Drosophila melanogaster: one gene and its partners. The protein of the gene in region 2 interacts with the protein of the main gene of each other region in a pairwise test. Each region holds a gene or a part of one and is shown on either strand. Other genes may lie near its edges.

Region 1 (5,684 bases), on a different chromosome or scaffold from region 2:
TGCGACAATTGATTTCGGTGCACAGTGATTGATTGTCTGTGGCTGTAATGGGAATTCTTCTTGACGACACCATAAATGTCGTTCGTTGTGTCGCAGTCACACCTCCGCATCACTGGCTCCCCAGACTGAGGCAGGATATGGAGGAGCTACAGCGAGGAGCCCCCTATGGGTTGCAAAAGCAAAAAGCGGTGGCTCCGAGCCATGTACATGACGTATGAAAGTCGTAACAAAACACTTTGATTGATGATTGAAATGGCCCGGCTCCTAATTGGCGATGGTTGCGTGAGAAGCTCGAATGTTATGGCTTGAAGGAAGTTATAGAAAAATATAGAACTAATAATATATCACATAATTTCAAGTTAATAATACTTCTGATACGTTGCCATGTTTCTCCTTCTAAGTGCTCCACATTAAACCGATGAAATCCTTGCCGAGTCACGAAACCATCACCAGGCGGACCTCAAATCGCTGTCCTCGACCGCAAGTCCACACGGATATAACCAGAATGAAGCTCTGGGCCCACCGCCCGCGCCCCCGCAAGCACGCACAGGTGCGCATAAGTTCATGATTCCATAATGTCTGTGACATGTGGCCATCAACTGGCCCTCACTTCTTTGGCCACCCACTTACCAGCCGCTCACATTCCACCCACACCCACTCTGCCAGTGGATGTGCGGTCAGGCAGTTACAAGGTCTGAGTTTGAGTTGATCCATTGTCCTCGCCCTCGTCCTGTTGGCGACGGTGATGGTGATGGTGACGGTGAATGGATGGTGGTGTGGCCGACTGTTGACGGTGTTGCCGCTGTTGGTGGATTGTCTTTGAAATGTTTCGGCGGTCGCGGGTTCGTTGCTCTGCGGCTGGTTTTTGGTTTTCGATACACGCAGGCATCAGCAAGCAGAGCTGGGCTTTAACGGTCCATTTACATCCAGTTAAAGCATAAAATTAATAGCACTTTTAACAAAAAAAAAATTGTGCATATAAACTTACGCTGTTTCCCTTAATTTGAATTAAATTAATTACCTAAATATATGTATATCGATATTTCGAAAGGTTTTCGATTGTTGTCTGTGTATTAACGCTAATGTTTAAACACTTCTACAAAATGTGAAGTCTAAACTAGCATTTATTTAAAAAATCTTGATTTTTTAGTTTCAGAGAACTTCCCGCTAAATTAAGTAAATTTTACATGAGTAAATTCTATTATCTTTATGATAATATCATGAAGAGCAAGCCCAAGTTTTTACGATCTTAATAATTGTTTACCTATCGAATGCCGATCAAAGCAAGCCCGCCCGTGCGAACAGGGTATTAGCAAAGACACTGGAATTATTATAGTGTATTTGGTATTAGCGACGTTCAATACCTAGAATAATATCGAAATAAATGCAAGCCGACTTTTGTTCGATATTTACCATCCGAATCGTTTAGAAAAAACGTTGATATTTTCCAATAAAAAATGAATATATAGACGGACCCCTGACTTAAACATTTATTTGTTCGTATTGTTCTATTATGCTAGGGTTTTTTATGGTGACACAAGTGGCTGAAAATAAATAATAAATAAATAAATAAATAATAAATAAATAAAAAATAAATAAATAATAATAAATAAATAATAAATAAATAAATAAATAAATATAGAATCACCTTTTTACCTCGCAATAGTGTTAGCGCATCCTAACCAGATGCAAGTGTAAACGGCGCATCAGACCAATTTATTTCGGAAGATCAGTGTGAATGCTTCTTTGCTTGGAATTATAATTGGTAGTACCGTTTTCTTCTGGCGCGCATTTGACAATTTCCATTTCAGAATCAGTGATTGCAAAAACTAAACTCAAATAGCATGTCGTCTAAGAGAGGGGCTGATCCAGACTGGAAAACACCTGGCAAGGCTTCCAAGGACAAGCGGCCGAAAACCAATGCCAAGAAGCAGAAGTTTCGCGACGAAGAATACTGCAAAGTTTGTAGTGATGGAGGAGATCTGCTGTGCTGCGATTCCTGCCCTTCCGTTTACCACAGAACCTGTCTGAGTCCTCCCTTGAAATCGATTCCCAAAGGCGATTGGATCTGCCCGCGCTGCATTCCCTTGCCCGGAAAAGCCGAGAAGATATTGTCATGGCGCTGGGCCCTCGATCGAAGCGTGGAGCTTCGTACATCTAAAGGTGAAAAGCGGCGCGAGTACTTTATCAAGTGGCATGGCATGTCCTACTGGCACTGCGAATGGATTCCCGAAGGTCAAATGCTCTTGCACCATGCCTCAATGGTTGCCAGCTTCCAGAGAAGGAGCGACATGGAAGAGCCAAGTCTCGAGGAGCTCGATGATCAGGACGGCAATCTGCACGAGCGATTCTACAGATACGGCATTAAGCCGGAGTGGCTCCTTGTCCAGCGGGTTATCAATCATAGTGAGGAGCCCAATGGAGGGACTATGTACTTGGTGAAATGGCGTGAGTTGTCTTATAACGATAGCAGCTGGGAAAGAGAAAGCGACAGTATCCCGGGTCTAAACCAGGCTATCGCTCTCTACAAGAAACTACGGTCCAGTAATAAGGGACGTCAAAGAGATAGACCTGCACCCACAATAGACCTGAATAAGAAGTACGAGGATCAGCCAGTATTCTTGAAGGAGGCTGGCCTTAAATTGCATCCCTTTCAGATAGAGGGCGTCAGTTGGCTTCGCTATAGTTGGGGCCAAGGCATCCCCACCATACTGGCTGACGAGATGGGTCTGGGCAAGACCATTCAGACCGTGGTTTTTCTTTACTCACTATTTAAGGAGGGACATTGCCGCGGACCCTTCCTCATATCCGTGCCGCTTTCCACACTGACCAATTGGGAGCGAGAGCTGGAGCTCTGGGCTCCAGAACTATACTGTGTCACCTATGTGGGCGGCAAGACTGCTAGAGCGGTTATCCGGAAACATGAGATAAGCTTCGAGGAGGTAACCACCAAAACCATGCGCGAAAACCAAACCCAGTATAAGTTTAACGTAATGCTGACCAGCTACGAGTTTATCTCTGTGGACGCAGCCTTTCTCGGGTGCATCGATTGGGCGGCGCTGGTCGTGGACGAGGCCCATCGGCTAAGGAGCAACCAGAGCAAGTTTTTTAGGATCCTGAGCAAGTACCGCATCGGCTACAAGCTGCTGCTGACCGGCACTCCGCTTCAGAACAATCTCGAGGAGCTGTTCCATCTGCTCAATTTCCTGAGCTCTGGAAAGTTTAACGACCTGCAGACCTTCCAGGCCGAGTTCACTGACGTTTCGAAGGAAGAGCAAGTGAAGCGACTGCACGAGATCTTGGAACCGCATATGCTCCGTCGCCTTAAGGCGGATGTATTGAAGAGCATGCCCCCAAAGTCGGAGTTCATTGTGCGCGTGGAGCTGTCGTCTATGCAAAAAAAATTCTACAAGCATATTTTGACCAAAAACTTCAAGGCCTTAAATCAGAAAGGCGGCGGTCGCGTGTGTTCGCTGCTCAACATCATGATGGACCTGAGAAAGTGCTGCAATCATCCGTACCTGTTCCCCTCCGCCGCCGAGGAGGCCACTATCTCGCCAAGTGGTCTTTACGAGATGAGTTCGCTGACCAAAGCTTCCGGCAAGCTAGATTTACTGTCAAAGATGCTAAAACAGCTAAAGGCGGACAATCACAGGGTCCTTTTATTCTCCCAGATGACCAAGATGCTGAATGTTCTCGAACACTTCCTCGAAGGGGAGGGATACCAGTACGATCGCATCGACGGGTCGATCAAAGGCGATTTACGTCAGAAGGCCATTGACAGATTCAATGATCCCGTATCGGAGCACTTTGTCTTCCTGCTGAGCACTCGTGCAGGCGGACTGGGTATCAATTTGGCAACAGCCGACACCGTCATTATTTTCGACTCGGACTGGAATCCGCACAACGACGTTCAGGCCTTTTCCCGAGCCCATCGCATGGGGCAGAAAAAGAAGGTAATGATCTACCGATTTGTGACCCACAACTCGGTGGAGGAGCGCATTATGCAGGTTGCCAAGCACAAGATGATGCTCACCCATCTTGTGGTGCGCCCGGGAATGGGTGGCATGACAACAAATTTCTCAAAGGACGAGCTCGAAGACATCCTTCGCTTTGGCACCGAGGATCTTTTTAAGGACGGCAAGAGTGAGGCTATTCACTACGACGACAAAGCGGTGGCCGATCTGCTTGACCGCACCAATCGCGGCATTGAAGAGAAGGAGTCTTGGGCCAACGAGTATCTTTCGTCCTTTAAGGTCGCTTCTTATGCCACTAAGGAAGATCACGAGGAGCATGATGACTACAATAACGATGCTGAAAACACTGACCCATTCTACTGGGAAAACCTGATGGGAAAAAGTCAGCCGAAGCTACCAAAGAAGCAAAAGAAGCAGTCGCAGCAGTCCCAGGTGGACGTCGAGAGCATCATGGGAAAGGGCAAGCGAATCCGAAAGGAAATCGACTACTCCAATCAATATCCCTCTCCAAATCGAGCCACCCCAAGCAGTATAGTATTAATGTGAGATAAGGAATAACCGCCATTGGGTACAAATCAACAAATGAATTTGAAACAGAAACCAAATTGTTAATTTATAAGTTTACTTTTCAAGCTTGCCTAAGCGCAGCTATCTTTAATATATAGTTATTTTGCTCCAAGACTTCACTAAAAATATAAGAAAAGTAATAGCAGTACTATTACTTTTTTGTTCGACTGTAACAATTTTTCGCCCAGTAAATATTCTATCATTAACATTCTTAGTAATTTAAGTGTTTAATTATGTTTGTCAAATTATTTAATTTAAAACAGAGAAACAAATAAAGATGAGTTCGATGGAAAAGGAAAGAAAATAGACAAATGACAAAACGAAGAGCAGTGTCAAAACGATTTCGGCCAGGAACTCCACGCAAAATGTCTGGTAAAATAATTAAATGTAATTCAATCAAAGGCAGTTTATGCGTAAAATTTTATTAAAGCCCAGCTTTCGCAGGATGAAGCAGAAAAGTCTCAATGCCAGACAAACACAACACACATATAGTAATATACACTGGGAGAAAAAAAATGCTGAAAAATCGTAAATACAGTCTTCTAAAAGGATTCGTTTTGTCATTAGGTCTTTCTGCAAAATAATATTTTTGAAATGAAGATAATTAAATTGCACATGAGCTGCTGTTGCATCTTGATTGCACTTATCCTGGGTGTACCCATAAATGCATGCATGAGCAAGGACATCCTCGTATGCACATAAGTATGCGTTCGCAATCAATTTATCATACGCCTGATTTGACTGCCAGAGCCCTGAAACCGGCCATCAAATGGCCCCGAGAATTGTGAAATGTAACTGCAATGTAATTAAAATGAAATAAAGACAGAAAACAGAGTGCCAGAGTGCAGGTGAAAGGTCCTGGGGATCCCCAAAGTGTCTGGCCTGGCGATTACTTAGATGCGTCCGGTGACCAGCTCATGGATTAAATCCGGCATATTTAATTATCACATACAATGGGAAAATGGCCAAGTCGTTTTCGAGATGACTTCACTTTAATTACGTTTTCTTAATCATATTTTTTGCACTTGACTTGTCTCTGAAATTGTTGCAGTTCTTTGTTAGTTTAGGGTAGATACGAGTAAATATTTCCTAATTGAAAGTGTGAGTGTGGCTTGAATGTTTATTTTAATCATGTAGAGA
Region 2 (4,345 bases):
CCAAAATCTAATATCATTCTATGCCGCAGCCCATTGGCTGGGCGTTCACCAATTGATAAAACAGGCCTGGTCCACCTTTTCGGCAGATGGAGTTTATGACATTTGGGAAATAAATGCCTTTCAAGCCTACATCATGGCCAAGGATTATCGCTGCCCGGAGATTATGATTGTAATGCAATCGCGTTTGCGAAAATGCTTTCTACCAATTGTGGCATCTTGGGAGTTTCTCGAATTCGATGTGAATGAAGTGACCACTTTGCTGGAACAAGACATGCTGTGTGTTAATAGTGAGGATGAGATTTTCTTCGCCGTCTTTCACTGGTTGAATTACTCCTGGACGGAACGCAAGAAGCACGCGGTCAAGGTGATGCAAAAAGTACGTTTTGGACTCCTGTCACCCTGGTTGCGTCGATCCATTTGTAATATGCCCGAAAACGATCGCATCGGCGAAATTGGCCAATTACCGGAGGTAATGAGCGGTTGATTGGTTTTGGGAAGACGAAACAATTCGATTGATATTTGAAAGTTGCATTTTCTTCTATAAATCTGGATTATTAATTGTCTTACAGATTTGCTCCTTGATTTGGGAGGGTACACTTTTGTGTCAGGCGATCATTGCCATTGGACAGCCGGAATATCGAAGGTCGAGACTGGTTCGTCGCATGTTAAGGGACTTCGAGCACAAAAGGATCACGGAACGGTCTTGGGTGTTCTGCGAGGGAGTTCCGCATCATCATGATAAGAAATGTGCACGATATCGAGAGTTGACATTTGAAAGCTTTAAGAGATTCCTCCACCGTCTGCACACCAATTCGGATATCTTTATGGAGAGCCTGAAGGCTGTGCCCAATAAGATCACTAACACTTACCGCTGCTGCATAGACGCCAACTTTTGTCCATCATACAAACGAACCTGTCCCATGGCGCCATTCTATAGGACGCATTTGGATCTTGACAATTGGAAATATCGCAATTAAATAATAAAATTCAATTTTATAGTGCTTACAGTTTGCAAAAATTTGAATTCAATGTATTTAAATTAAAAGATATAACAATATACTGTTTAATAGATGATGCGTCATCTATGTATTGTATATCTCCAAGTTGCAGTTTTCTAAAAGTTTTAAATGTATACACTATTTTATTGCCAAAAAAAGTGATTAGCCATGCTCGTTGCCAAAGTCGTTAAAACTTATGGATCTAACTTCCTGGCCAAAAGGTTTATCATAATAGCTCATTGGACTACGATCTGAATGCTGGACGCGTCACCAACCGCAGAGTCCGTGGTGTGCACGCTAAAGCTATCATCTATGCTCTCATTAAATCCGGCAAACTGGCGATCATCGTCATTCGATCCTTGATTCGGATTGTAATTGCTATTGTCCTGGGTATGCTGATCAATCATCCGTACGTTTTCATCGGTGTAGTTCAAAATGCAACGACCTAAGCGACGGAGATATAACTTCTGGTCGAGATACATTTTCAGCAATCCCTTAATTCCGATATAGGCAATACCACCGAGTATGGTGCGCTGCAGTGCATCGTCCAGCCTACCGAAGAACACATTTCCCACCGTTGTGGCAAAAGTTGGTAGAAAAAATGCTCCGCAAATGAGACGAGAGATGTAGAAGGGTTCGGTGATGGACGGATTATGTTGGATTGGTGGCAAACTGATCGAACTGCTCGAACTGACGCTCAAGTCATCCAAGTCACCCAAGTCACCCAAGTCCCTCGATGCACCTTCCGACTGATTGGTCCTGTGGAAAAAGGGCAATTTGCGCGGAATGTATATATATATGCTGCGCATGGCCTTCAAGACGGCATCTTTCCATCGCACCAGCCGGAATAGGATCAATCCCACCGGTATGAAGGGTAAACCCACTAGCAGGATGACTTTATTCTCCATCAACTGCATTGCGCGATCTTGACCCACCACCTGGATGATAGTGAATGCTCCGTATGTAAGGGCAATCCAGTATATACAGCATAAGAACATTCCGAGCACCAAAAATGGGCAAATTCGCCTAACTGCATAATCCAGCTTCTCTAGCACCCTGGCAATGGGATTCATTTGGGGAAAGACCATTATATACTCAGTTTGGCATTGTTGGCAAATCACCGTTTGCCGGCGATCACCCAGCTGCTTCTCGTCGATCCAGCGATATAGACAACTCTGGTGGACCCATTTAGTGTCACCGCGGCACTGGCACGGCTGCACCCAATGGGCATGTGGATTATCTTCGCTAGTTGCGAAGCATATCCAACAGATGCGCTCTCCATCAGCATTCGACAGCTCGGAGTGTTGCGATAAGGGATTCGATCCGCCGCTGCCACGCATCTCCATATGATCTAAATTATGAATATCAAAGACAAGAATTTTTCTACTACTGATCTATTTGTACCTGACATACAACGCGGCTGAAAGTATATCTCCTGATTTGAATCCATTGAAGCTAAAAACAATACCACCGAAACGGAATTGAAAGATAGTCCAAAGAATGCAGTTAACGAGCAAGGACAACGAATTTTGGAGCAACAATAAAAGCTGTACACAAGCTGAGTTGACTGTGACGAATGAGTGTGTGAATTAAGTGGCAAAGGCAATTCGATTGGGATGAAAAATGTTTCGAAATATATACGAAAATTTGACAAAAATAAATATATATATTCTCTGATAGTAAAGTGTCCAAAGATTGCAAATTTTACTTTTTGGTACCATTTCTGGTACTTTTTGGCTCATTTCTACGCATACAGTGACAGCACACGTATTGTTCATGCATTGCCACTATGGGGCATTTGGCCTGTTTTTTTTTTACAATAATGTGTTTTTCACAAGTATGCAAATTTGAAGTATTTTAGTATTAATACATTGGAAATACGTTAAACTGTGTTATGATATAGCCCGCATAAGTTAATTTAACAATGCTCTGTTATAATAACAGCTGTTAAAGTCGGCTGTTGCGAGCAAAATTTAGCTTAACTTTCAAAGTGTTAAAATTTAAAAAGAAGAAGAAGGAGAGTATAATTTGAAATGGATAATCAATCTTTAGGTTCTTATTATGTGTTGTTATTAATATATTGTTTATTGTGTGCGCCTATTTCTAACAATTTGTACATTTAGCAAGTGGTGTCAACATGCAGTTGTTTGAAAAAATTTTCAAATTTGAATAGAGCTACAACAATTTTTTCAGTAAGTGTTTATATCCATGTTGTAGTGTGTTCAATTCCTAACTCATATCAGGTAGTCTCTATGTGCGTTTTTTGCGGTTTTTTGAGAAATTTCATTTTTTAGGGAGCAATATCTCGATTTCCAATGCTGCCCTGCTGGAAGTGGAAGGAAAATTCTATTTGCACTTTTATTAGTGGGCATTTATCTGATAGCAAGCTAGACTTAAATGAACGATTAACTAATAATAATAATAACGAATGATTTCAGTCAATCTTTTGCGAAATTGGAGAAAATGCAATCGAAAAATAAATGAATTTTTAAAATTTTTTTCAAATTGGTTAGAAGAACACCTAGTCCTGAAGGTAAAGGAGAAAAATAAAAAGGAAAGAATATTAGCTGGACTCCCGAAAACGTCATATTATTTAAAAAATTTGAGTGGCCGAAGACAGCAAGCAGATGAACTCGTAAGGGCGCCGAATCACAACGAACATCTTTTGGTTCAAGCTGCACGGAAGCGCGGCCTGTGGGATCTTGCAACCATACTTAAAACTCTTTTGTTAAACCCAGCCAAGGCAGAAACCATTAGTAGCTTCGCATATGTCTTTTACAGAGCAATGGATACTAAATTTAAAGAGGCGAAAACATAAGCGACTATCTCTTCCACCAGAAGTCATTCAAATGTTAGCTTGCGAATTTGAACCTTATAAAAATTCTTCAGACTCTGCTGATTGTGAAGAGGAAGACGGTTATGAATTATACAATATTGAAATTTAAAATAAACTTTAAAAATATATTATTAAAAAAAAAAAAAAAAAATTGGGGCGGCGTTGGGGCACGCCCACTTTTCCAAAATATTCCTGGAGGCATGTGTAACGCATAAAAAAAAATTCATCCAAATATCTCCAATAGTTTACGAGGTATTAATTTTTGTAAAAAAAACAGGCCAAATGCCCCATAGTGCGCATTGTAAATTTGGCTTAGTGTGTGGCATTAGTCTTAAGAATGTGTTGCATACGTTTCGGTGGCACTGTAGTAGCACTTTAACATGAATGCCCAAAAACATGCTTCAAATCAAAAAAAAATTCAAATCATAATGCCTAATTCGTTTTTTATTTGTTCGATTCACATACGTGAACATGTTTTATGTGTGTGTGTGTGTGTGTGTGTGTGTGTGTG
Region 3 (4,657 bases), about 14 Mb from region 2:
GGAACCGTATCCCATGTCAGCAGCCCAGTTCAAGCTGCTTATTGGACTCTATTTCCACGGCAACGAGTGCCACACGAATTTTGCCAAGCTCTCGGCCAAGATCATGGTCTCCCAGAGATTCGCCTAGACGAAGGACAGAAGTTTGGAGCCACTACAGTGCCTTGGTAACCAGTTCCTGAGTTTAATCATAGCTGGCAGTATTGTAGTTATTCGCCGTATGCTCTTGCTTTTCAAACAATACTTACTTAGAACGTTTACCTTATGCATTATTAAAACATGCATTTTGTCAGGTTAGACGAATATTTTCAAAGCTGGAACGAATTTTCCAATCTCGAACGAATTTCGAGTTATTAAGACTGCATTTCCATTTTATTGACTTAAAGCTATTCATATTGCCTTCCCAAAAGATATCCAAATGGGGAACGGTCGAATATTTAAGAAAATGAATTTATAAAAGGCAAGGCACGCTATATTATATCCGCATATAATACTAAGACAGTGCGTACATTTGGCAAGAACTTAAGAAATACTGTACGTTGAAAATATCTCCCTACATGGCATCCATGCAAAATGTTATACGAAAGCGAAGCAATCGAATGCTCGATCAAATATAAGACTTTATTATAGTATACTATTTAGTCTAAAAGGGATTAAAACTACCAAAAAAAAATTGCTGATAATTAATTATAATATACATACATATAACAATAATATTTATTATGCTAAACGGAAATCTCAACTTAAGGGAATTTATATGAAATAAAAAAAAAATTTCGAATGCATAAGATACGTAAATGCAGCTAAAAGTATTGGAGAATGTATTCCGGAAATACGGCTAGTGATCTCCGGAACGCAAGCCACCAAAGCCCGTTTAAAAGGAACTAAAACTCATTCACATGTAGCCCCACCCCAAATCCCTGCTGCCTTCGTCTTCGATTGGAATCCGATCTCCGCATCCCAGCCTCATATGTAGTCCAGCATGCCGCTTATGATCTCAAAGGCATCCCGAGCCGTGGGCTCAATGGCGCTGCTGGGCAGCAGATAACCGTGCACTCCGTTGTCCGCCAGCTGGAGCGTGTAGCTGAAGGGAATTCCGATCTCGTAGGCGGCAAAAGCGTCCGCACAGCCTGGATAAATCAAGGAAGCCAAAGGATTGGCAAGGTCGGATAAAGATCTCTATTATATTCTACTTCGAAGCAAATAATATAAATATTACGCACCCGATCGCTGTTCAATTAGATCGTTGGATGCGTCGACCTTATATCGGGACTTACTACCCTTTTTGCGCAATCCATCGGTACCCACCATCGCCACGTCCAGAAAATCATCCAATCTTTCTGAATTGAAAGTGGAATTGGCCTTGACCGGATAGGATATCACCTGACCATAGGCCTGTAGGGAAATGTAAAGCTGCAAAAATAATGAATAAAGTTAATAAATCAAAAAATATATCTATTTTAGAGAGTTAATATAAAAATTATATATTGTTCTAAGCATACCTTTATCTGCGTCCTATAGTCCATAAGGAACTCAGATACTGCCTTGGTTTCCGGTTCAGAAAATGGCGCTGGACCGGCGTAGAACTCATTGCAGGGTGCCTTGGAGCTACCCCGTTTGCCCCAATGATACAGCCAGTTTCTGTCCAGGTCCACCCCGTAGCAGACCTTATCCGGACCCCGTTTTTGCTGGAGCCATGTCATCGCCGAGTCGAGGAGGCCACTGGGAGGTGGAGTCTGGTGCTGAGATCGCGACTTCTTCCAGAAACGATCGTACTCGTGGCTGTACGCATATCCGTCCGGATTCAGGACCGGCATTATGTACCATGTGGTGTTCCGGATGAACTCCACGTCCTCGTTGCTTTCTGTTGAGTAAACGTTTTATGGGTTATTTTTATACATAACTTTACATAATGCATATGAAATAAATGTTAATAAATATTAATTCTCTTAAGAAAATAAATACGTTGTTCAACCGATCAACGTAGCCGCTTTTCCCCAACTCAAATTACATTAGTTATCCCTTTGTCAGTCCGTTAGTCAGTATATTTGTAGACCCAGAAATCGATAGTGTATACTTTAGACCTTTACAGCTTGCCACTTCTCCTCCAGTTGGACCAAGATCAGAATGGAGAGGCGAAGACCCCGAAAGTCCTCGCGTAAATACGTGTGCTCCAAATCAAACTCTTCAGTTGGAGGAGGAGTAGAGGAAGACAGTGGCTCATCATTGCCTGCCACCGCCAAAGCGTTACTCCTCCAGCCGGACGGTAATAAAGCACCAACCATGACATCCCTTCTGGGCGAACGACTCAGAAGAGTTTCTCGCATCGCAAGAGCTCCGCACAGCCTACAAGTTACCGAAAATCCAGAAGAAGGTGGAGCACCAATCGTACCACTAAGAGAATCCGGCGCATCGGAAGTGTCAGAAGTAAATCCGGGGGTTATGGTCATTCCGGAGTCGGCCAGTCCCCGGGGATCGGCGGTGCATGGACAACACGCTAGCTTGGTCTTCAGTGCTGAAGCCAGGGATTCGGACAGTACGCGGATATCGGAGGAAATGGTGGAAGTGTTCCAAACCTCTTCGGCGAGAACCACATCCAATGAGCCCGCAGGGGGCAATCTGCGCTTTGAAACCACTCCCGTGGCTGTAAGCGAAAGTATGGTTGGCAATATAAACTTCTCCCCGAACGCCATCTACGATCAGAACAGGTATAGCAGCATGATGTCCAACGGGGATTACAATAATGGCAACAGGGGTGAGAGTGAGAGGAGCGTGGGAGCCTGCCACCATGGTTGGGCGGCGCGACAACAACAAGTTGCCGCTGGACCTGCCGGCAGAGACACCCTGGGATTCGCCATCAGTCTGGGCGCCGCTAATTTGGGCCAGAACCGATGCAGTCTGGGCGTTGCATGCGATGAGGACTGTGGCTATGGAACTGGCTGTGATTTTGGATGCGGTCAGGCCCATGGCGTTGATCCCGGAAGCTTTCTAGGTCCGGGAACCATGGGAACTGGTCCATTAATATTGACAACGGGATCAGGAGGCCCACCTGTACAGAGCGCCCTACGAGGAGCTCAAGGTGGCGGCTATAAGCAAGTTGGCGCCGGGCAGCGGGGAACTTTTGGAACAGATTTCGGAAGTGAGCAGCTTAACTTCTTCATTACCTTCCTATTGGAGGTCCTCGGTGTTTTAGTGTGAGTATATATTTATATATTCCAGGATTGGATCATTCCAACTCTATGATAATCTACGTAATCTTCCATTAGTTTTTTTGCCATCTGCACGATAACATTTTGGATTACTCTGGGCTACCATGTTGTCCAGTTGCTGGTGGACCTGAAGAACGCCGATCGCAACATTCAGGTGGCGGTGGCCATTGTGTTCGGGCTGCTGCTCGTTGCGTTTGCCATATCGCAGGTGACCAACCTCAGTGGTTCCTGCTGTCATTCACGGGATCGAGCCCGTTCCAGAACCAAAGGTGGTGGCATTGGCTTCTTTCACAGATCCACCAAGCCAAAGACCAAGAGCTGTGCATCCAAAACCAAGACCTGTGCTCATAAGCCGAAGATTAAGAAGGCAGCCACTTGTGGACCCAGCCTGGGCTTTCACACGCACCGCAAAACGAGGTATACGGATTGCGAGGGACGGGCAATTTTCTTGAGCTCGAGACGATATGCTATTCCGACTGAGATGAAACAACCACCCACCATTGTGCTCTGGATGCGCGACACACTGGTTCGCATGTTGCAGTAACCACCAACGAAGCCCCACGTTGGGCGCCAATAATACTTAAACTGACTTAAGACTGCGAAACTATACGTATTGCCTGGAAACACGAACCATTCGATCATTTGCAAAAATTTCAATTTGAATAAACTTTAAGAGAAAACTTTTGTAGGTATTACTAAATTGTTACTTATGATCTGGGCCAGTATTATTAATATCGTGAAATAGATGTTTAAGAATACGAACATACTAGTTCGGTAATAGTATATGTGTATATACTCACTGTTTGTTTTCATTAGTCGCAGCAGTTCGGCAATCATCCAGGTGGCCGCCGCGGGTCCAATCCAGGCCAATCCCTGAGCACCAGCTTCGACGAAAACGGCATTTGCCTGGCCCGACTTCCGCTTCCGCTTGGGTCGCTTGATGGTGTGTAGACCATCGTTGTTCGCCGCCGCCGCCGTCTGTTTGGATTCGATCTTTACCACAATTAAGGGTCGACCTTCGAAGGAACGACCAATGTGGATGAGCTCAACGAGCTGCGGATGACGCATTCGCACCGTCTCCAGATACTTGACGATCTCATCGTGATTATGGTAACGATTCCATGTCATGGGCGGTGGTGCCGTGGGACGCGGCTTCGAGGGACGAGTGGTTTGTAGGTAATCCTCTTTGGTCAGTTCGTATGCGATGGCCTTGCCCACATCGAAAATGAGCACTTCGTGCGCTATGCCCTCGTAGTTTAGAGTGCCCTGAAAGTCCACGAGCATCTTGGGTGGCACAAGAACATCCGTAAGACCTCTGAAACGATGAGGTGAGTGAGAAGATTTGGTTTAAAATGTATTGTAATAATCCCCAAATTGATTGTCATCATACATTTTTGAGCTTTAAGTCTAGCTTACCTGAGACTTGGACCCTTGAGCCATTGCAACTTAAC

What was found.
Region 1: the proteins of CG16781 (region 2) and Chd3 interact in a two-hybrid assay, tested with the Drosophila melanogaster proteins (one large-scale study listed by BioGRID).
Region 3: the proteins of CG16781 (region 2) and CG4955 interact in a two-hybrid assay, tested with the Drosophila melanogaster proteins (one large-scale study listed by BioGRID).

Annotation. Positions count from the first base shown.
Region 1 is NT_037436.4:19,445,405-19,451,088, forward strand, and holds Chd3 (Chd3), read left to right. Parts: upstream 1-1,768; 5' UTR 1,769-1,844; coding exon 1,845-4,523; 3' UTR 4,524-4,834; downstream 4,835-5,684. Other genes in the region: CG33062 (uncharacterized protein), read right to left, coding at 631-714. UniProt on the Drosophila melanogaster protein: ATP-dependent chromatin-remodeling factor which acts in nucleosome-remodeling by catalyzing ATP-dependent nucleosome mobilization. Likely to be involved in the regulation of transcription.
Region 2 is NC_004354.4:3,461,479-3,465,823, forward strand, and holds CG16781 (uncharacterized protein), read right to left. Parts: upstream 2,567-4,345; 5' UTR 2,449-2,566; coding exon 2,403-2,448; intron 2,350-2,402; coding exon 1,235-2,349; 3' UTR 996-1,234; downstream 1-995. Other genes in the region: CG10801 (uncharacterized protein), read left to right, coding at 1-469, 570-977.
Region 3 is NC_004354.4:17,079,460-17,084,116, forward strand, and holds CG4955 (uncharacterized protein), read left to right. Parts: upstream 1-1,987; 5' UTR 1,988-2,124; coding exon 2,125-3,191; intron 3,192-3,263; coding exon 3,264-3,750; 3' UTR 3,751-3,897; downstream 3,898-4,657. Other genes in the region: CG4949 (uncharacterized protein), read left to right, coding at 1-127; CG8945 (uncharacterized protein), read right to left, coding at 964-1,127, 1,221-1,410, 1,500-1,861, 4,007-4,521, 4,623-4,657.